Linked DNA regions of Astyanax mexicanus. The protein of the gene in region 3 interacts with the protein of the main gene of each other region in a biochemical or structural test. Links are inferred from orthologs where the notes say so. Each region holds a gene or a part of one and is shown on either strand. Other genes may lie near its edges. The genes, in order: kdr, fibulin-2 and hspg2.

Region 1 (7,841 bases), on a different chromosome or scaffold from region 3:
TACTGAATCAGGAATATCCCGAAGGTTTGCGCCCAGTAGCTTTTGCCAGTCGCAAGCTTAGCTGTTCTGAAAAAAAATATCCGGTTCATCAGCTTGAGTTCCTAGCTCTGAAGTGGGCCATAGTTGACAAATTCCATGATTATCTATATGGGGTACACTTTACTGTGAGAACTGACAACAATCCACTCACATATGTTTTAACTACGGCTAAGTTGAATGCCACTGGGCAACGATGGCTTGCTGCCCTCTCCACATATGATTTTGGCATCCAGTATAGGCCTGGACGGGAGAATATTGATGCAGATCTTTTGTCTCGAAATGCCACCGATGATGTGGGGTGGATCTCCCCAGCCGCAGTAAAAGCTTCCTGTAAGAAGGTGAATGTTTCTGTTGACATGCCTAGCAGGTATGTAGAGCAGTTAGGAGCCTCACCTAATGCTATTCCAGAATTATATGCCTATCCCACTAGACTGGGTGTTAGTTCACTGGAGCAACTGAGTGGAGAGGACTTGAGGAGAGCACAAGAGGCTGATGCAGTCATCAGTAGGGTCCGGAATGCTGTAGATGGAGGTCTGTGGCCCCTGGGTTTCCAGAGTGACATGCCAGACATGCCCTTATTCAAACGTGAGTTCCAGAAGCTTGTGCTAAAAAATAGACTCCTGTACCGGCGAACCAACAGAGGAGGGCATGACATTTTCCAGTTAGTACTTCCCAAAGTTTACAGGGATACAGTTCTACGCTCTCTACATGATGACTTTGGCCATTTAGGAGTTGAAAGGACTACTGAATTAGTCAGAGACCGGTTTTATTGGCCCAGAATGGCATCGGACATAGTTAACTACATTAAAACATGCGGCAGGTGTGTAGCTCAAAAGACTCTGCCCCGCAGAACAGCACCATTAGGTCAGCTCTCTAGTAAAGGCCCGCTTGATTTGGTATGCATAGATTTTTTATCTGTTGAGCCAGATTCTAAAGGTATTGCTAATGTCCTTATAGTGACAGACCATTTCACCAGATACTCACAGGCTTATCCTACTCGGGATCAGAAGGCCCCTACCGTAGCCAAAGTACTGTTAGAAAAGTTCTTTGTCCACTATGGACTGCCGGCCCGTATCCATTCCGACCAAGGGCGTGACTTTGAAAGTCGCCTGATCAAGCAGCTACTTGACCTGCTGGGTATAAAAAAATCCCGGACATCTCCCTATCACCCTCAAGGGGATCCCCAGCCAGAGCGTTTCAACCGCACACTGCTGTCCATGCTGGGCACCCTGGATCCAAAATTGAAGCACAGATGGAGTCAACATGTTGCACTTATGGTGCATGCTTATAATTCCACCCGTAATGATGCTACGGGGTACTCTCCCTATTATTTAATGTTTGGTAGGGAAGCACGTTTACCTATAGATGTATGCTTTGGCACTGCTTTGGGAGGGCAAGAGGAAGCCAAGCATGAGATGTACGTGAAAAAGCTGCGTGAAGAGCTGCGTCGAGCATACCAACTGGCTGTTGAGTGTTCTAACAAGAGCCATGACAAAAACAAAAAGGCTTATGATGCCAAAGTACACAACCTTCCTATAGAGGTGGGGGACAGGGTTCTGGTCCGTGCTTTAGGGAGTACTGGGAAACAAAAGTTGAAAGATAAGTGGAATTCTGTGCCTTATACAGTGGTAGAAAAAATGCCTAACATACCTGTGTACAGAGTCAAACCTGAGAGAGGAGTAGGGGTGCCCCGAACACTTCACAGAGACCACCTTTTACCCATTGGCTGTCTGATGCGTTTACCAAATGTTTCAGATATAGCAGACTCACATTCAAGCCTTGGGGACCAACAAGCTCGGACACGTCGCCAGCAGCAAACGAGAGTCACGGAGAGCCATTTTGAAACAGAAAATGAGCAGTCTGATTTGGAAGAGGACATGCCTTATGTCAGACCTATTGAGTTCTCTGAACATTTTCCTAGTCCATCCTTACAGCCAGAGGGGCCGAGCCACGATCTTGCAAGTGAGCCTGTCGATGCAGAAGTTGCAGAACAGGAAGAACCCCCTGGGGAGCCAGACATACCTATGTCTGTAGGGGAGGAAAATGCACCCGAATCGCAATTTTGTGATGTTTCTGATACAATGGAGGTCTCAACCAGTGACCAACAGTTGTTGGAGGAACAGGAGACCGAACCAGACATGATGCCCAGTGACCCCTCTTTGGGTAAAAGAGCTGTTAAACCTGTCATTCGTCTGAGCTATGATGAGCTTGGGAGTTCATCTGACCAGCCTCTAGTTATTGTACACCGAGGGATGAGAATATATATCACGCCCCCAGTAGAACCCTCAGTTGTCCCCTGTTTTTCTGTTCGGTTGACTCTCGAATGAAACTGCCTAGTAAAATTTAAAAGTCAGATGAGGACATCAGACGTTTAGAAGGGGGAGGGTGTAGCCCAAATATAATTCAGTTCTATATTTAGTTCCATGCTTCTATGTATCTAACTACTGAAAAAAAAATGTTTTATAGGTGTTGTTGAATGGTACTGAAATATTGTAGCAGTTTGTGTAAGATTTTTAATGTAATAAGAATATATATATTTTTTCTACGTTGAATTATACAGTATTTTGAAAAGTGTTCTTACATCCCAAGCACCTTAGAGGGTTAGGGAGTCCATTTATTGGGTCATCTACCTGCCAATCTTACCTCCTTTTCCATTGATTGGTTGAAGGGGCGGGGAAATGGAGTAGCGGTGTGTGTGTGTAGGGAGAGAGAGGGAGAGAGAGAGGGACGAGGGAAAAAATACAGGAGCTCTGGATGTTTTATGGCGTTTTTGGTGTTTTGTTAAAGTTTGGGTCCAGAGTGACCCATGAGTTAAGTGAGTATGTATTTCTGAAGTGTTTTTCTTTGAGAGAGTTCGCTGTTGAACACTATTAGATGAGTTTTAACTCTGTTTATAGCTTGTAAGTTAGCCTAGCCGGCTAACCGTAACGAGATTTAACTTTAGTGACGAGCCACGCGGAGCTGCGTGTTTTCGCCGCTCAGATAGCGCCACGAGCTACCAGGATAACGCTCGTGGTTCCTCTGGGTGCCTCGTGGGAGCACTTTTACCCCGGATAGCGCCACAGGTCAGCCAGGAAGCACCTGTGGTTCCTCCGGCAACGTGGGAATTCTTCAGTTCAGTCCTGTTCAGGTAGAGGAGAGTGGCCAACTACCCGCTCTGAGTCAAGAATCTGAGTCAAGAATTTGAGTCAAGAATCTGAGTCATGAATCTGAGTCAATTCGTCAAGAGTGACTGTGAGTAAACATCTCCGTTCAGAAACAGTATCAGGCCTGCAACGTTTTTTTTATTTTATTTCTTATTTACTGCCGGCTCTTTGTATTTATTTATAAATGTATTTTTTTTTTCCCCCTCTTTTTGTTAAACAAGTATTACTAAATATGTTAATTGAGTCCACTGCATTGTCTACCTAAGTTGAAGTTATTTAGGTTATAGAAGGTTTAAAAGAAATACATCAGTTCTTTCCCTATATTGGTATTTTCAGATCTAATTACACATTAGTGTGTATAGTTTTATTTATCCCCATTTATACATTTTGTTTTTGTGCATCAATAAACTTCACTGGGAGTACTCATTGCAGCCACATATCTTTAATTACCTGTGACTAGGTCTTTTACTTCTTCAAGACATATTTACAGTTGGTAGCTAAATTTACAGGAGAGGTCTAATTAATGAACTTGGGGCCCTGTCCCTTTGGCCTGGGATGTAGGAGGGGTTACATACAGTATATTAGAAAAAAACGTGATTGAAAGTTGTCTGTTTTGCCATTGAAACCTATGGGGATGGGTGGGGTTACACAGCTTTCTGAAACCGAACAGCAGGGGGCGCCCGACCTGTGGTGGCTTCACTTTTGAGAGACGATGCTCTGTCCAGCTATACACAGTCCAAACACCCTTCAGACTGGGTGACTCGGGTGACCCGATGAATCGCTTTTTCCACTGTTATCCAGCCTCAAAGTAGCTCCACACCTCCTTGACAGAATTCAGAGAACCTTGACATTTAAAATGATGCATTAATAACTTAAAAAGTGCACAAGAAGCTTATTAAAAAACTACTGTTTACATCCTATAATGCTAGCTTCAGCTCCGCATAGCGTAGCATCTGGCGCCAAGAGGCAGGCTATGCGAAGTCTATGTATATTTATGTCTATGTAATTTTTTAGTTCAGTGATGGTGGCGCTCGGAGCTGAAGCTAGTGTTATGGGATGTAAACAGAGTTTTTTATTAAGCTTCTTTTGCACTTTTTCTTGTGGTGAACAATCCATGTGTGAAAATGATGATCTCATGCTCCCTGAACCACTCTTCTACAATTCCAGCCCCATGAATTCTGTTATTGTAATCTTGGAATATATCCTCGTCATCAGGGAAGAACAAATCCATTGATGGAATAACCTGGTCTATATTCAGTATATCCAGGTAGTCAGCTGACCTCATTCTTTCAGCACATACTGTTACTGAACCCAGACCTGAACAACTGCAACAATACCAGATCACCTGCTTGTTTTAGCCAGGCAGTGTATTTGTGCTTTGTGAACAGGAGTCTGTTGTTATTGGTAGTGAGAGTCACTAGTATCACTGTTATGAGTGCAGGTCAGTTCAGGTCTGATATCACTCACTGCTTGATAGGTTTAGGTGCTGGGGTAATTAGTGTTTGATAAGACGCATCCTGACTCCTAGACCTGATCTAAACTCCCCACAGTCCAGTTTATCACACGTTTCCAGGCTCGAGACTGAGGCTGGGTCACCGGCCCCTCCCTCTCCCCCCATCATCTCCCTCCTCACGCGCTCTGTGCTGCTCCCTCAGTGTGTGTGTGGAGCGCGCGGGTCTCCTGCAGTGCGCGGGGCATCGCTGAGTGGATTATCTCCGGGTTCCGCTACAGGACTGTGTGAGAGAGTGTGGACAGCAGTGTGTGTGAGAGAGTGTGTGTGTGAGTGTGGAGCTGTGGGTCCTGATGCGCAGCTGAGAATAGCCGTCCTGTGGGAACTTCTAAGAGGGGTTTGATGCGGGGACAGTCCGGCAGGGTGGTCGCACCATGGCAAAGCCATTTTCACTTCTCTCTCTGGTGGGCATTATTTCTGCAGTCAGCTGGGTGACAGGTAAGACCAATACAGATTTATATTAAAAAATAATAATAATAATTTATTTACCCACCAAAAGCCTAAAATCTAATAAATATAACTGCATATTGTTTTATTATGAAGCAGTGACCCGGATTTGTTTATTATGTCTTTTATGTTGTTGTCATTGGAAAAGACGTAAAAACCCTTCTTAAGTAAAAGTCCATATAAAAAGATCCAAAAAGTAATTTTTAATAATTGTTCCACTCATTATAAATATTTTACTCAAAGTAAAATACACAGCAAAACCAGTAAGTGAATAGATGTAAAAAATCTAAATAAAAAATATATCTAGATTTAAATTAATAAAAAAAACAACACTAATATCTAGATTTAAACAAAATAAAAAAACAAAAGCAACAACATATCTAGATATAAATAAATAAAAAAACAACAACAGAGTTTAAAAAAAAACTCATATGTGTTTGATGTGTGTTTAAATAGATAGAATTATAAATATAATATATAAAAATTATATATATAATTACCAAACAATAAAGTTTTATTTGAAAAGCAAGGAAAAAAACACATAGTCTATGTATTTTATGGTGAGAAAAGTGGCAAAACTAATGAAACCTTAATTAAATTTTGTTCGATATCCTTTCTCTGGTTAAATGTTAATTTTTTTATTATGTTCGAATACATTTAGTGCATCAATTTTTTTTTCAGAAATAAATAAGTGTTTAGTAGCTCTAAATATATCGCACCCACTCTTTCCTGCTTAATTGTAATCAGCTCAGGAAGGGAGGGGTATCAGACTAGTGTCTTAAAATGCTTGAGAACATCAAAATTATGTATAAAAACATACAAAATATTATATATATAAATATATATATATACATTAACATTACATTTGTAGGTTAATATAAAAATATTTAATTGTAGAAAACATAATTTCTTATGACAAGTCATCAAAGAAATAATAAAGATCAAATGCTAGTTCTGACAGACTGCTCATATTAAACGTTTGCCCTTCATCTTTTTTTCTTTCTTTTTTTTTTTTTTTTAAAACTTGTGACCATTTTGCCCAGAACCTGGTGCCATTCCCACACTGGCATTGTTGTTTGAAATGACCTCAGTGAGCAACAATTCTGAGATCAGATCTCAGCACTTCTTAAATCAAATGTTTGAATTAGTGGGGCCCTGTGGGGTGTGCTCATTGTAGCTGTGGGCCGATGTTTGTGTGCGTGTGTGTGCTGTCCCTTGCCCTGGTTCCTCTGGAGCAGGAACCCCACCTCAGGGCTTGGAGCGTGGGGCCATTTAGGCCGGCCCCGGCCCATCTGCCCCAGCTTCCTGTTTTGACACAGTCAGTTCTCTGCACTGCTGCTGTTGCTCCAGTGGAAAAATAGCCCCAGAGCTTAGACTGCACACTCCAGAATTCTCCAAGAGTGCTGGTCCTGGATCAGGTGGACTTCAGGTCTCTAGAAGAATACATGGATGGAAGCTGGTCTTAGATCAGTACTTGTGCTTTGAAATATTTCAGTTGTATGGGCCCAGAATTCTGAACCAGGCCAGTTCAAGCAGTCGGATTCACTACTGCTGTTATCAGCTATAGTCTGTATAGTTTATGGTGTATTTATGCTGCTGATACAAGGAGAAATGTGCATTAATGAGAATTATACAAAGCAAGAGTACTGAAAATAGTAAGGTTTTGGGTTCAGCTCTGCTTACAATACTTTGTATATTTAATTAATATAAAAATATACAAACCCCAAATCGAATTCCTCATGATATAAATACATGTAAAAAAGAACAGAAAATAGTATAGTTCCCAATTGTCGTAAAATGTGTGGGAGCAACACATCTCCAAAAAGTTGGGACAGGGCAACAAAAAGCTGGTCCTAATAAAAACAGCTGCAATAGGAGCAATTCATGACTAACTCCCATGAATGGGTACAAAAAGAGCATTTTAGAGAGTTAAAGACTCTTAGAAGCAAGGATGGGGAGAGGTTCACCAACCTGCAAAAAGATGCATCAACAATTTGTGAAACAATTTTAATGAAAAAGTTCCACAATGTAAAATTAAAGATATTCCTGATTATCCCAACATGTACAGTACATATCATAATTGAAAAATCTGAGAATCTGTGTGTAAGGGACAAGGGAGAGGGATCAGTATTGGATGCTGGTGATCCTAAGGTCCTCAGGTAAAACAGCATTAAAACTGGCATGATTCTCTTCTGAAAATCACTGCATGGGCTCAGGAACACCTCCAGAAACACGGTTCAGCATGCAATATACAAATGCAGGTGGAAACTGTTTGATACAAAGAAGAAGCCACTGACCTCTGACAAAAGCACTGCTGTCTTTTCTGGGTCAAAGCTCATTAAAATTGGCAAACCCGAAAACTGTTCTGTGGTCAGATGAATCAAAATAAGAAAATTTAAATTTGGTGCAGAGAAGCTTCTGGATTGTGTCACATTGTTCTATGTGTTATGAGAAATGTCGGTACAATGGATGTTCAAATTAAAAGATGATGTTACTATGGTAATGAGAAAAGATGACATGAAGCACATTAAGTAAATATCCTTCAAACTATTACCCAGATTGGCGCTACACATTAACTTTGCCAGTGTTTAATTACATTTCAACACTCACAATGTTTGTTTAACAAAATCAGTGTTGATTCAAGACTGGCAAATTTACTGTTTACTCTGTACACTAATAAATTCCTGAATGTTGTGGCT
Region 2 (7,011 bases), about 45 Mb from region 3:
TTTGTCTCTAATAGATATATAATGGGAAATAAGAACAGTGTGAATTTTTCTTTTAATAAAAACAGCGAAAGTAGTACCCTGATGTGATAATGTGGGGTGTGATAATCAGGGGTGGGTGATATGGCACCATATTTCAGGGTTTAATATCGTTTACGATATTAAAAAATTGGCAATATTATCGTGTACAATATAATATGGCACACCTCTAGTTATGGTTATGATCTCAAAGTCTGGGTTATGATTTGAAAGGCTGGGATATGATCCCTTAGTTTCTCAGGGGGACGTCTGTAAAAAATATTTCAAACTTCTACTCAGTGATAAAACTCCTGCATCCAGACTGCAGTTGAAAAAACAGGAGGACCAGTGAGTTCAGTAGCTCCTCCATTTCCACTCGCTGTTGTGTTTTTATGTAGATCTCCAAGGAAACGTGCACCCAATAATAACGGTGTGCGGCAGTGGACAAATAGCTATTTTATTCAACACGAGGAGACGAAACTCAGAGATATGCATCCGGACGATACTAAAAGTACTGGAGTTCAGCGAAAAACAGTAGATAAATCAGCCTGTCATTTTTTTTTAGAGAACATAATCTCAGAGACACGCACATGGTCGTTCTGGACAGGAATAAAATCACAGAGGATAAAAAAAACCCGTAAAAAAGAAAATTACCCCAGAACCCCCTGAGAAAATAATTCTGTCCAAATAGGGCTAAAGTCTGGGATATGATCTTAAAGTCTGGGTCATAATCTAAAGGTCTTCAATATTCTAGCTGGAGCATCTGTGACTAAGACAGCAAGTCTTTGTGATGCATCAAGAGCCACGGTATCCAGGGTAATGTCAGCATACCACCAAGAAGCACCAACCACATCCAACAGGATTAACTGTGGACGCTGTAAGAGGAAGCTGTCTGAAAGGGATGTTCGGGTGCTAACCCGGATTGAATCCAAAAAACATAAAACCACGTCTGATCAAATCACGGCAGAATTCAATGTGCACCTCAACTCTCCTGTTTCCACCAGAACTGTCCGTCACCACAATAAATTATTGTGCTCTAAAACCAGGTGTTTCAGTTTCATTGTAGTATATTTCACAACAAATGGAACATGTTTTAAAAATATATATATTTTTTTGTTTGTGCAGACGTTGTGAAACAATGGTGCTCACCGGTTGGTTAGAGAGTGGCGTTAATCCTGAGAAATGTGGAGAGGTCAGCGAGACGTCGGCCCCCTGCAGGGCCATTAGGTGGATTATGAGGAGGCGGGGAGCGAGGCGCAGGGTCGCAGCAGTAATACTGGCAGAAGTCACGATTAGGCCACGCATGAATGAGAAATAACAACAGAGCTGAGGGCAATTACCTTCTCCCGGGCAGAGCGCGTCAGATCGCATTACTTGCGTCCAGACGTTTCTGCACAGGCAGAGACTGACCGGCCCTGAGGACCCGCGGACCAGCCGGTCACCCAATACCCCGTCCAGATACTATCTGATCTTCATCTGCAGGACCTGCTGTGGGCTTCAGGACTGTGTCTGCACAGCACACTTCCTCTTCCTCTGAGAGAGAGAGCACTATAAACCAGCAGAACTAAAGAGGATAAATTCACCAAATCCGATTAGACTTTCTCTCTGTTTACATATTCAGAGTTCATTCAGACAGAAACAACAGAAATACTCTAAATACACCTGTGATTAACCCAACTACTGAACTGAGAAAACTCTACACCTGATATTTTAATATTCATTCATAAGCAGTAAACACACAGGACAGGACTAATTTCAGAACATGTGCTTATTATACTGTATCTATTGTTTAATAAAAAGTGAACTTTCAAGAACATTTGGGAAAACTTTGGAAGAACTTTTAGAGAACTTTTAAAGAACTTTAAAGGACATTGGAAGAACTTAGGGAGAATTTGGGAGAACTTTGGGAGTTCTTTTAAAGAACTTTAAAGAGCATTGGGAGAATTTGGGAGAATGTTTAAAGAGCATTGGAAGAACTTTGGGAGAATTTGGGAGAATGTTTAAAGAACATTGGAAGAACTTTGGGAGATCTTTTAAGGAACTTTAAAGAGCATTGGAAGAACATTGGGAGAATTTGGGAGAATGTTTAAAGAACATTGGAAGAACTTTGGGAGATCTTTTACAGAACTTTAAAGAGCATTGGAAGAACTTTGGGAGCACTTGGAAGAACTTGTAGAGAACTTTAAAAAACACTGAGACTTTTTTAGAGAACTTTGGGAGAACTTTTATCTAGATAACTTTGAAGAACATTGGGAGAACTTTTAGGGAAATTTGGGAAAACTAAGAGAACTTTAAAAAACACTGAGATAACTTTTTTAGAGAACATTGGGAGAACTTTTATCTAGATAACTTTGAAGTACATTGGGAGAACTTTTAGAGAATCTGGGAGAACTTTTAGAGATTTTGGGAGAACTTTTAAAGAACTTTGAAGAACATTCAGATTTTGGGAGAAATTTTAGAGAGCTATCAAGAACATTGGGAGAACTTTCAGAGAACCTCTGGAGAATTTGTGAGAACTTTGAGAGAACTTTGAAGGACACTGGGAGAACTTTCAGGGAAATGTAGGCGAACTTTTAGCTAGAGAACCTTTGTAGAACTTTTAAGAACATTAGGAGATTTTTGGGAGACGTTGGGAGAACTTTTAGAGTACTTTGAAGAACTATGCTGAGGTGTTGGTCCTCTCATCTATTATTTAATACACTCTAAAAGGTGATTTTTTTTATGTTTGGCCACCTTAACTAATATCATCATGTGGAGTAAACTTTCCAAACTGTACAACCCAACAATAGAATAAGTTCAAAGAACTTTAACCCAAAAACATGTGTATACATAGTTAATACACTGTGTATATATTGTAAATTAATAAAAAAGAATTTGGGAGAACTTTTGGAGAACTATTAGAGAACTTTGGGAGAATTGTAAAAGAATTGGAAGAACTTTTAGAGAACATTTGAGACAACTAAGAGATTTTGGGAGAATATTTAGAGAACTTTAAGAGAACTTTGGGAGAATTTTAAGAGAATTTGGGAGAACTTTTAGGGAACTTTGGGAGAACTTTTAGAGAACATTTGGGACAACTAAGCGAATTTGGAAGAATATTTAGAGAACTTTAAAGAACATTGGGAGAATTTTAAGAGAACTTTAGGAGAACTGTAGTTGTAGATCATTGCTAATTGATTGTGCTGAGGTATAGGCCCTGTTTCTTATTCTTTCTCAATTTCTTTCTTCCTTTATGTCTCTTTTTCTCTCTCTGATATTTTAATAGTCATTCATAAGCAATAACACACAAGACATTTCTTTCAGAACATTTATTTATTATACTGTATCTATTATTTAATACACTCGAAACACTGAACTTTAAAGAACATTTGGGAGAACTTTTAGAGAACTTTTTGGGAGTTGCTCCCTTTGCTGACACAGATATGCAAATGCACACAAACACCGTGTCTAGTCTCTGTAGAGACATATCGCCAAAAGAATAGGACTCCCTGGAGCAGATCAACCTTAAGGACCCTATTGGCACCATGCCTACTGCCAGATATGGGCTAGATAGAGGGGTATAAATAAAGCCCCCCAGCATCGCCCAATACTTCTTATTGAGTTCTTATAGAGAAATGAGTGAATGAAGCACGCGCCCCTCCCACATAAAACATAACACAGCGTGAATATTTCCCCCACCTGTTTTCATAACAAGTTCTCTGATTGGCTAGTAATCTCCCTCCTTACCACTGCTGTGCTAGGATTGGTCAGTTGGGTTCACCCTGCAGTGCTGTGATTGGTTGCTACTATGTATCCTCTATCTGCCCACCCACTTTCCAACTAATAACCAATCCGAGCGCAGTGGGCGTGGCTTTCCGGAATACCGGTGTGAAACAGCGCTGAGCTCCGGGTTTGAAAGAGAAGCGCAGCGCTGCGCTCAGAGAGAGAAGACCACCCGAACGGAGCCCACCACCACCACCACCAGGACCACCACCACCACCAGTAGCTCCACCACTGCGGGCAGGTAGGCTCTTCTGCTGCTTTTTCTGCAGGAATCACAGCAGTTAGAGAAGTACACTGAGCTGTTCTTTGGGTTCAGAATGGAAGGAGAACTTTAGGAGATCGGTGTTGATGGATTATGCTGAGATATAATCACCGCAAACTCTCTCTCTCTCATTCTATGCCTATAACTCTCTCTCTCTCTTAGTTGATGCATCTTTCTCTTTTTCTCTCATTCATCTCTTTGGAATGCTGTGAGAACATTATGAGAACTTTAGGATAACTTTAGAAAAAGACTGAGTGGGAGATGTTTAGATCTTTGTTTGAACTATGAAGAACCATTAGGAGAATTGAGATAATTTTGAATAACATTTGGGAAAATGTTGGGAGAACTCTGTAAGAACATTATGAGGATTTTAGGAAAACTTTGGAAAAGACGGAGTGGGAATTTTTAGGACATCTTTATTAAAACTTTGAAAAACATAGAGAACTTTGGAAGAACTCTGTGAGAACATTATGAGGACTTCAGGAGAACTTTAGGAAAGACTGAATTGGAGATTTTTGGGAGATCTTTACTAAAACTTTACTAAGAACTATTAGGAGCATTAGGGGATTTAGAGAACTTTGAAGAACATTTTGGAAATTAGGAGATCTATGGGAGATTGTTGGGAGAAGTCTGTAAGAACATTTTAAGGACTTTAGGAGAACTTTGGAAAAGACTGAGTGGGAGATTTTTAGAAGGTCTTTGCTAGAACTTTAAGGAACATTTGGCAGAACTTTGATAGAATTTGGGAGAACTTTCAAGAACAATTGGGAGAACTTTGGGAGAATGTTGGGGGAACACTGTGAGAACATTATGAGGTACTGAGGTACAGACCCTCTCACTGTCTCATATTCTCTCACTCTCTCCCTTTCTCTCTTTCTCCCTCTCTCTCTCTCTCCATTCATTGCTCATCTCTCTTTCACTCTCTCACTCTGTCATCTTTCTCTCTCTCTCTTTCCCTCTCACTCTGTCCATTTTTCTACTCTCTTCGTCTTCCTCTCTCACTCTGTCTAACTGTTCATTTTTTTTCTACTTTATTCATCTTTCTTTCTCTCTCTTTCTCTCCCACTCTGTCCATTTCTCTCTCTCTTCGTCTTTCTCTCTCACTCTGTACATTCAATTCTCTCTCTCTCTCGCTCTCTCTTTATCTCTCACTCTGTCCATTTCTCTCTTTCTTCCATTCTCTTTGTTTTTCTCTCTCACTGTTCATTTCTCTATCTTTCTCTGTCTTTCTCTCTATTTTATTTTTCTTCTTTCCACTCTTTTAAGATTTAAGATGTGTAGCTTTATTGAGGTGGCTCTTATGAGCATAATATTACCGAAGTTTTACAAAAACAGTGACAATTAAAGCAACTTCGTGTGTAATTCTTTCTGAATGTATGTTTCAGTCTTTGTCAGCTAGTTTCTCTTTGTGTTTCTTTCTCTCTTCGTATCACCCTCTGTCTGCATCTCTTCCACACTTTCTCTCCTCTGAATCACACACTCCAAAAACACACTCCACCAGACAGTACACATAATGCACTATATTTCCTACACCCAACATGCACTATATGTCCAAAAGTATTTGAACAGCTGCTCATTCATTGGTTCTGCTCAACATTAATATCATATGCTTCTGTTAAAGTAACTGTCTCTAGTGTTCTGAGAAGAGTTTCTACTAGGTTTTTCGAGAATTGCTGTGAGGATTTGATTGCATTTAGCGACAAGATAAACAATAGTGAGGTCAGGATGTTCGGTGATAACTAGTGCTGCACGATACTGGAAAGAATTTACATTGCGGTGATATATATCGCAATATTAAACATTGCAGGGCCCATGCCATCACCAGCCCCGCCCCCACCCAAGCGCCGTCTCGCGTCCGGACCAATCAAGAGCTGAGTCGGCACAGGGCTCAACTCAAAACCCGAGGAAAACAGCAAAACAACAGAAATCGGCCCTTTAATCAGGCATTTAAATGCCCTTTTAAAAGGTAAATAAGAGCATTTGTTTTTCTGGGATTAAAACGTAAATTCAGCTGTAAATGGAAATATCTGTGCTGCAAAACTGTGCTGGACTGAGCTGCACAGCTTTGAACATGTGCTCACATTTACAAGCACGTGCCCAACCATGTGGATGGAGGCCATGCGGTTACATCGCGCTCCCCCTCCCCCTCGCGCTTCTCAGGCAGCAGCAGCCTGTCACTCACACAGACACAGAGACAGCACTGTGTATCTATTTCTTGTGTCATGAATCAAAACATGACGCAACATGACATGTTTAATTGAATTGCCTTAAGTGACATTGTACGTCCTGCGATGTGATTATTGCAGAGAACACAGGGTGTCCTATTCTATTGGCACTACTTTTCTACAGGGACTACACAAGCTGTGTTGTGCATTTGCACATCAAGGGTCAGCAACGGATGCACATTAAAGCAGCTGACTGTATTCATTAGAAGTGCTGTCTACAAACATTATAGGAGGTGTTTTTGCAGTATGTAGTGCTGATGAGTTAATATCAGAGGGCCTGTAGAAACGCTGCTTGTATAAATATATGAGTTGTAGATTTCTGAGCTGCTTTTCTTTTCAGTGGCATGCTTTAGTTTGGCTGCTCCTCTGACGTCTGATTTATTAAGAGTCCGGGAGGCATTTTTCCCTGATTTAGTCTCAGCAATTCTTCTGTGTGTGTTTATAGTGGACGTCAATCTGAGCAAAACCTCAGATCTCAGAAAAACAAAAGATCTGAGAGAGAGCTTTTACTGCACACATACACTTTCTGGCCACTTTATTAGAAACACACAATAGAACCATACAAAAGAAAAAAGAACCAACATTCGGTTTAAGCTAAATAACTCAATCTTTGCAATGTGTGTCTGTGTGAGCCACACTAAACATGAAGAACAGAAAGAGGTGAAGAGAACTGTTCAGGACTGTTCATGGGTCTTGCAACAGGACAATGACCCTAAACAAAGAGCTGGAGAGTTCTGAAGTGTCCAG
Region 3 (6,967 bases):
GTGGACCCCCAAACCAAGCCAAGGTGAGGGGCAATAAAATAGAAAATTGTTTGTCACAACATCCCGGCAGTGAGCTGTATATGGCCGCAGGAATCCAGGCCATGCGATCCCCAGCAGCATACCATCAGATGAAGTCAGAGAACACTTGCGGAGCTCTATGTGAAGAGAGAGCTAACTAAAATAGACACTGATGGTCACAATAGTGATCACAGGCTCTCCGACACAGGCTCTCCGACACAGGCTCTCCGACACAGGCTCTCCGACACAGGCTCTCCGACACAGGCTCTCCGACACAGGCTCTCCGACACAGGCTCTCCGACACAGGCTCTAGATTCCAAATCAGACTCTAGACTTCATCACACGGGCTCCAACACACAGTCTACAGGGTCCAACACAGGGTCAAACACAGGCTCAAACACACAGGGGCCAACACACTCCAGAGTCCAACACAAAGACTTTAACAAAGGCTCCAACACAGTCTCCAGACTCCAACACACTCTACAGACTCCAACACATAGGCTCTGACACAAAGGCTATGACACACTGACTTCAGATTCCAACACAGGCTACAGGGTCCGACACACAGGCTACAGACTCCAACACACAGGCTACAGACTCCAACACACAGGCTACAGACTCCAACACACAGGCTACAGACTCCAACACACAGATTTCAACACAGGCTCCAACACAGACTTCTGATTCCAACACAGTCTACAGACTGCAACACAGGCAAATTCTAACAGCATAATTTAAACGCCTTTGTGTGAAACTGCTCTTAAAACTGTTAAATGCTTTAGGCTATTAAAGTAAATTCACTCAAAACTTACATTCAGAAATTAAACCATCACTGACGGCTTTAAGTGACAGATGGTAAAGAACACAGTGGTAATTATCAGGCTACTGATTGTTCACAGAGGGTCGGGCCACTTGACTGTGGCAGTAAACTAAAAGGTCATAAAGTGTTTTTATTGGGGTTTTGTTGGGGCTGATTGATACTCTTTGACCTGAAATTCCTACTGGAAACCAGCACTGCCGGGAGCAACCAGCGCCCCAAAACTCAATTGAATCAAAAGAGCTGTCTGGAAAGTAGTAAAGCCGTCTTGTAATGTGGAAAACAGATGCCCTTGGTTCCGGATAATCCAATTACAATGCCATTGTGTGAGCTCTGGTGGTCTCTGAAACAATAGTAAAACTGAGGAAGCTGTTTCATCAGGGATACTGATTTTACTTCTGTATTAATGACAAAAACAGATCAATACATGTGAAACTACTGTATCATATAAGTTGTAGGTAATTTAAAATAAGCACCAACAACCTCTGAAGGTTTTTAGCCTCAATATCTCAATATTGCTGAAAACTAAAGCTGAACAAGTTAAGCAGCCAATAATCCTTAAAATAAAGGAGGTTTTATGATTACCTACATTCTACCAACAAATTCATACAGTCCACTGACCTGTTCACTGATATGTTAAAGTAACTTCCATTATTATCCATTAGAATTAGTAATAAGTCACACAATATGAACACTATACAGTCATTAAACAAAGTAATGTGGCGTGCAGCAAGGGTCAACCTCAGGCCCCTTTGAGTTTCTATTGACTGTTGACAATTGACTGTTACTTAAGAAAAGTAGTAGGCTAATAAGTTACAACATAAGAAGACCACACAGTCATTAAAAGCTACACAAAACGATGTGGTGTGTATCAAGGGTCAATCTGAGGCCCCTTTGAATTTCTATTTAACATTAGTATCTCTTAAAAAAATAGAAGGAGTTTTAACCAAAGTGGATATTGTCTTTCAGTCAACAATGCATAAAACATAGAAACTAAATATGAAAGGTATATGAATAGACACTGTACCAACAAATACTACCATTAATACCCAAGAAAATTAGCAATAAATCAAACTATGAGAATAGCATACAGTCATTGTGGTGTGTGGTGTGTATCAAGGGTCAATCTTAGACCCCTTTAATTTTCTGTTAAACATTAGTAGCTCCTTAAAGTTGAGCTCCAGCCACCTCTGCAGGTGTTTAACACCTCAATACTACTTGAAACCAAAGTTGATCAGGCAAAGTTTTGCAGGCAAAGAGACGCCAACAAGACTATGACTATGAATAGCTTGTTTCTGTGGACAAAATTAGACCAGAGTACACTCAGATACTGTTGGGAAGAAAGTGGAGGAGGCTTGTGTGTCTTCTGGACTGTGTGAAAGTTGGATTTTGAGTGCTTTACTATCAAATCTGTGCAAAAGTTGTAGTAAGACTCAATCAGTGTGGCTTAACCACCACTTTCACTTCAGAATAGCACATACATTTCTAACTTTACTTAGAAAGAAAAAGTTATTTTGGGGGGAAGCTCATGCACTAGATAGACATAAGGAAAAGTGAAAAGTGCAATTGGTAGCTAACCTAACAAGTTTAGTTGTGCAAAGTCGTGTCATGGATAGTCTTAAAGTCTTTGTTTTTTCTATGCACAACAACAATGCAAAGCCAACTCATGCTAATGGAATAAATAGGCTGATGTGAAAGTTGCAGGAGAAAGTAGAATAGAAGTAGTACAATAAGTAGTATAGAAGTAGGACAAGGAGAAGAAGTAGGATTAAAAGTAGAACTTGGACTAGAAATAGAAGATGGACTACAAGTAGAATATAAGTAACTTAGAAATAAAAGTAGAAGTAGAACTAGAAGTAAAAGTTAGAAGTTTTAAGCTTGCTTTGCTTTCTTACCTGAACTATATAGGAGCTCACTAAAAGCCAGAAGAGCAGTCCTGAGACTTTCCGGACACCTATCCTCGAGCCCATGTTTTCTCCTGTCCGCCCAGCTCCGGTACCGATCCGCGCGCGGAGCCCGAACTCCGGGGAGAATAAAAGCGCTCGGCAGAAGTTTGCGGAGTGCGTGTCCCGGTCCCACGCGCGGCGGGACCTCATTTACCGAATTAAAGGAGTATCCGTGCAGGTGTTGCTCAGCACGCGCTGCACGAAAACTTGTGTAAAAGCGAGCGCGTGCCCGGGCTGCTGGTCTATGAGCTCTGTATGGAGGTTCTGCAGCACTGGGAGGACTGGGAGGACTGGCCGGACGCTGGAGGTGCTGGAGGTGCTGGGGTGGGATCGGGACTCCCCCCCTGATCCGGGACTGGAGGAAAACCCGGACTGGAGTCTGGAGTCAGGGAGAGAGAAAGAGAGAGAGAGAAACTCAACTATTTAAAAAAAAACGTTACTTAGCAAACAAAAAACGTTATAAGAACGTTTAGCAACGTTTTGTTGAAAACTTTCCAGGCAGATTAGTCTGTAAAAGTGCATTTTAAGTATACTAAACATAAACAATGTACATACAATAATATAATGTAGTATAATATAATATAATAATATACACAAAACATAAAGAAACATAATAACACAATAGACATAGTAAAAATAAACATAATAAAAAAACTCTCACCAAACCAAACAGTTACTTAGCTAACAAAAGTAAAAGAAAAGAAAAATGCGTTCAAGTTTACTAAACATGAAAAAGTACATACTTTTATAGCATAGAAAATGTACATACAATAATATAATATAATAATATATATTTAAAAAAAATAAAGAAACATAATAACACAATAATCATAACAAATATTAAACATAATAAAGAAACCCTCAGTTACTCAGCTAATAGAGAACATTATAAGAACGCTTTAGTAACGTTTTGTGGAAAAGGTGCCAGCAAGTTTAGCCTGTAACTAAAACTGAAATATAAAAACAATAAACATAATTAAGCAATAATACACTCGTGGTTTGTTCTGTTACATGCGGTTGTAGAGCAGCATAGCTGTGCCAATATTACACATTATAGCACAAACCACAAGTGTGTTATTGCTTGTGATTATAGCACAATTTTATTATGTGTGTTAATTGAAATATTTTAAAGAGTTAAAGAGGATGAAAAAAATATTATCTGTTTGGTTATAAATGCTCCGCAAGTTTGCTAAAAATGTCGAGCTGAATGATAGACCTGTCTGTCTGTCTGTCTGTGAGTTGCTTTACCAGCATTACAGCTCTGAACCTGAACCCTAAACCCAGAGACAGAGCTTTTCATTAATTTCTCCATTTTTAATATTCTATATCTGCTTGTTTATAGATATTTTAAACTGACGTTTCATAGACTTGCAATATTTAATGGTGTGATTTTGTTAACAGAAAAGTGCATCTGTTTTGGGGGGTTTTGACTTGTGAGGTGGTGAAATTTACTCTTAAAAAATAATCTGACAATACAACGTACAATTTTAAAATAAAATAAAAATCAGAACCCAACATTCAAATCTATCTTGCTTCATATTTTTAGAAATACGAATATTTGATTGAAATAATATTTGATTGGATAATGGTGTACTCAATCCCTGTCAAATAATTAATGCTTCTTGATTGAAGCTTCTTGATTGTTTTGAATTAGATATTTTTTAATTTTTTAAATAAAAAAATGTATGGGTTGACCTTTAAAGCCTAAAATGATAAGCTTTTTTTTCAACACCTGACAAGCTAAAAACACACACAAAAAATGTTACAACAAAAATTGCGATTAATGATTGGCACCATTTAATATTTATTTATAACGTTTATTAAAAGTGATTCACTTAATGATAATGATTGGTATTTATATGATTTATAGAACATACTGAATCATTCAGACTCTGAGTTTCAGTAGTGAGATCGAGGCCTTGCTTTTACAAGTTTGTTGAAATGTGGCGCCCCCTGCTGATATTTACCCGCATTACAGCACAGCCACAGCTTAACCCTTTCAGATCCCGCGTCCCTTAAAATAGACATTATATGTATTTTCCTCTTTCTTGTGTATTTTTGCACTTAATGCAGATCGAGACCTGTTTTCCATCAGAATAAACATTTATCGGCAAATCAAACAGCATATTAGCCACGCCCACTGCACTGGAAACCATTTAAGAATTCGAGCTACTAAGGGAAAATAAATACATTTTTTTCATATCATTTATTTAGATTTAATGCATATTATGAAAGCCTATTCCCACCACCTGAAATTCAATAAAAACTAATCCAGCCCATTTTTCTTTTATCTTCTCATTATTTTAAAATTGTAAGTCATTATTTTTAAGATACTATCTTATTATTTTACGATTGTAAGAAATTATTTTAAGATTGTAAGTCATTATTTTGAGATACTAATTTATTATTTTAAGATACTAATTCATTATTGTGAGATACTAATTTATTATTTAAAGATAGCAAATCATTATTTTGAGATACTATCTCACTATTTTAGGATATTGTTATATTATTGTGAGATAGAATGTCATTATTTTAAGATACTCTCTCATTATTTTGAGATACCAAGACATTTTTTTAAATACTATCTCATTATTTTGAGATACTATCTTAGTATTTTGAGATGCTAATTTATTATTTTTAGATACTAAGTCATTATTTTTAGATACTATCGACGTTCATTGTGATTTAATAGATGCAGCCGATGTATCCTTCCTGGCCCACAGTTACCCACAATTCAATGCGCATGTCCGACGCAATGAGGAAAAAGTTAAAACGGCAACAAGGTAATTGGTGGAAATTAACAAGGAAACAAAGACCCTGGTGTAGATTTGTTTTAAAATGTTTTTAAATTATTTATTAATTATTTCTGTAAAGAAATGAAAAAGCACACAGGTTTTCCAATGGAAGGTTTTCATTGGACAGTCCTACAGAGGAACCGCCCTGCCTCGAATGCAGCTTAGGCTTTGGAACATATATATATATATATATATATATATATATATATATATATATATATATATATATATATATATATATATATATATATATATGTTGAACAAATATGCAGCTTGTTTGATGACTGTATTGTTTTATAGGCTCTAAGCAATAAAACACTGAAGCAGTCTGTGTGAGGAAGGATGGCTCCACAGGTAAATCTGGTTCTGCAGAGTTTATTTTAGAGGAAGGAGGAGGAGAACAGGCCTCCAACCTCCAGGAAGGAACTCTGTAAAATGTGCTGCTTCAGTAATGATGAGTCTGAACTGCAGCTCGTTCTTCCAGTCTTTAACAAGTCTAACCGCTGTGTGTTTACAGTGAAAACAAACTGAGACAGGAGACACAGCAGCTTCTCACACTCAGAAATGATCACGAATGCTGAGAAAAACTAGTAAAGAGATATATTTACATCAGGTGCACCCTATTGAAAAGGAAATATACTTAAGAGCATTAAATATATGTTTAAAGTAGGTAAAGAATACTAAAAGTACATTTTCTATTTAATATAATTTATGAAAATATACACTAAATATACTTTTATACTCTCTGTATTTACATTTAAATAAAACGTAAATTAAAGGCTGCTTAAAGTGCATTTAATGTATTTTTATTTAAAGCAGCATTAAGGTGTGGATCAATATGCATCTATCTATGCAACTAACAATATTTAGTTAGTAGAACATTTTCTGAATCTTACAATTAATCTTCAAATGTAAGTTTTAGGTATATATAATGTGTAATATTTTCATAAAGTATATTCAATTGAAACAGTACTTTTGATATTTTTTTTACAATTAACGTTCTTAAAATGTTCTGTCAAGTTTTCTAAATGTTCCTAGAATGTTTTTATTTAACCTTTATACACATTCTGGTAACCTCCTTGTAAAATCATATTTTAATGTGTATTTTTATCAAGTATATTAAACAGAAAAATACAGAAAAAAACAGAACATACTTTTAAGTTTAAGTTTATATACTTAAATATACTTCCTTTTCACAAGAGGAGCCATGCCATCACATAATATACACACCTGTGACAAACGCCACACCCATTTTCAAGCACAGTCTAACCAATGAGAGCACGGTATGCTAATTCTGGAGAACAGGTGCGCAGCATAACAGGGGTGTGTGGGCGTGGCCTGCGGACTTTCTCTTCTCTTTCTGAGCGCTCGCGCCGCAGGATAGAGAG

The links.
Region 1: the proteins of hspg2 (region 3) and kdr form a complex in vitro, tested with the Homo sapiens proteins (2 studies listed by IntAct). The link is inferred for Astyanax mexicanus from reciprocal best matches to the Homo sapiens genes HSPG2 and KDR.
Region 2: the proteins of hspg2 (region 3) and fibulin-2 form a complex in vitro, tested with the Homo sapiens proteins (2 studies listed by BioGRID). The link is inferred for Astyanax mexicanus from reciprocal best matches to the Homo sapiens genes HSPG2 and FBLN2.

Annotation. Positions count from the first base shown.
Region 1 is NC_064408.1:64,162,091-64,169,931, forward strand, and holds the start of kdr (vascular endothelial growth factor receptor 2), read left to right. Parts: upstream 1-4,812; 5' UTR 4,813-5,069; coding exon 5,070-5,133; intron 5,134-7,841. UniProt on the Homo sapiens protein: Tyrosine-protein kinase that acts as a cell-surface receptor for VEGFA, VEGFC and VEGFD. Plays an essential role in the regulation of angiogenesis, vascular development, vascular permeability, and embryonic hematopoiesis.
Region 2 is NC_064420.1:47,016,306-47,023,316, forward strand, and holds the start of fibulin-2, read left to right. Parts: upstream 1-3,923; 5' UTR 3,924-4,018; intron 4,019-7,011. UniProt on the Homo sapiens protein: Its binding to fibronectin and some other ligands is calcium dependent. May act as an adapter that mediates the interaction between FBN1 and ELN.
Region 3 is NC_064420.1:1,885,905-1,892,871, reverse strand, and holds the start of hspg2 (basement membrane-specific heparan sulfate proteoglycan core protein), read right to left. Parts: upstream 3,089-6,967; 5' UTR 2,932-3,088; coding exon 2,731-2,931; intron 1-2,730. UniProt on the Homo sapiens protein: Integral component of basement membranes. Component of the glomerular basement membrane (GBM), responsible for the fixed negative electrostatic membrane charge, and which provides a barrier which is both size- and charge-selective.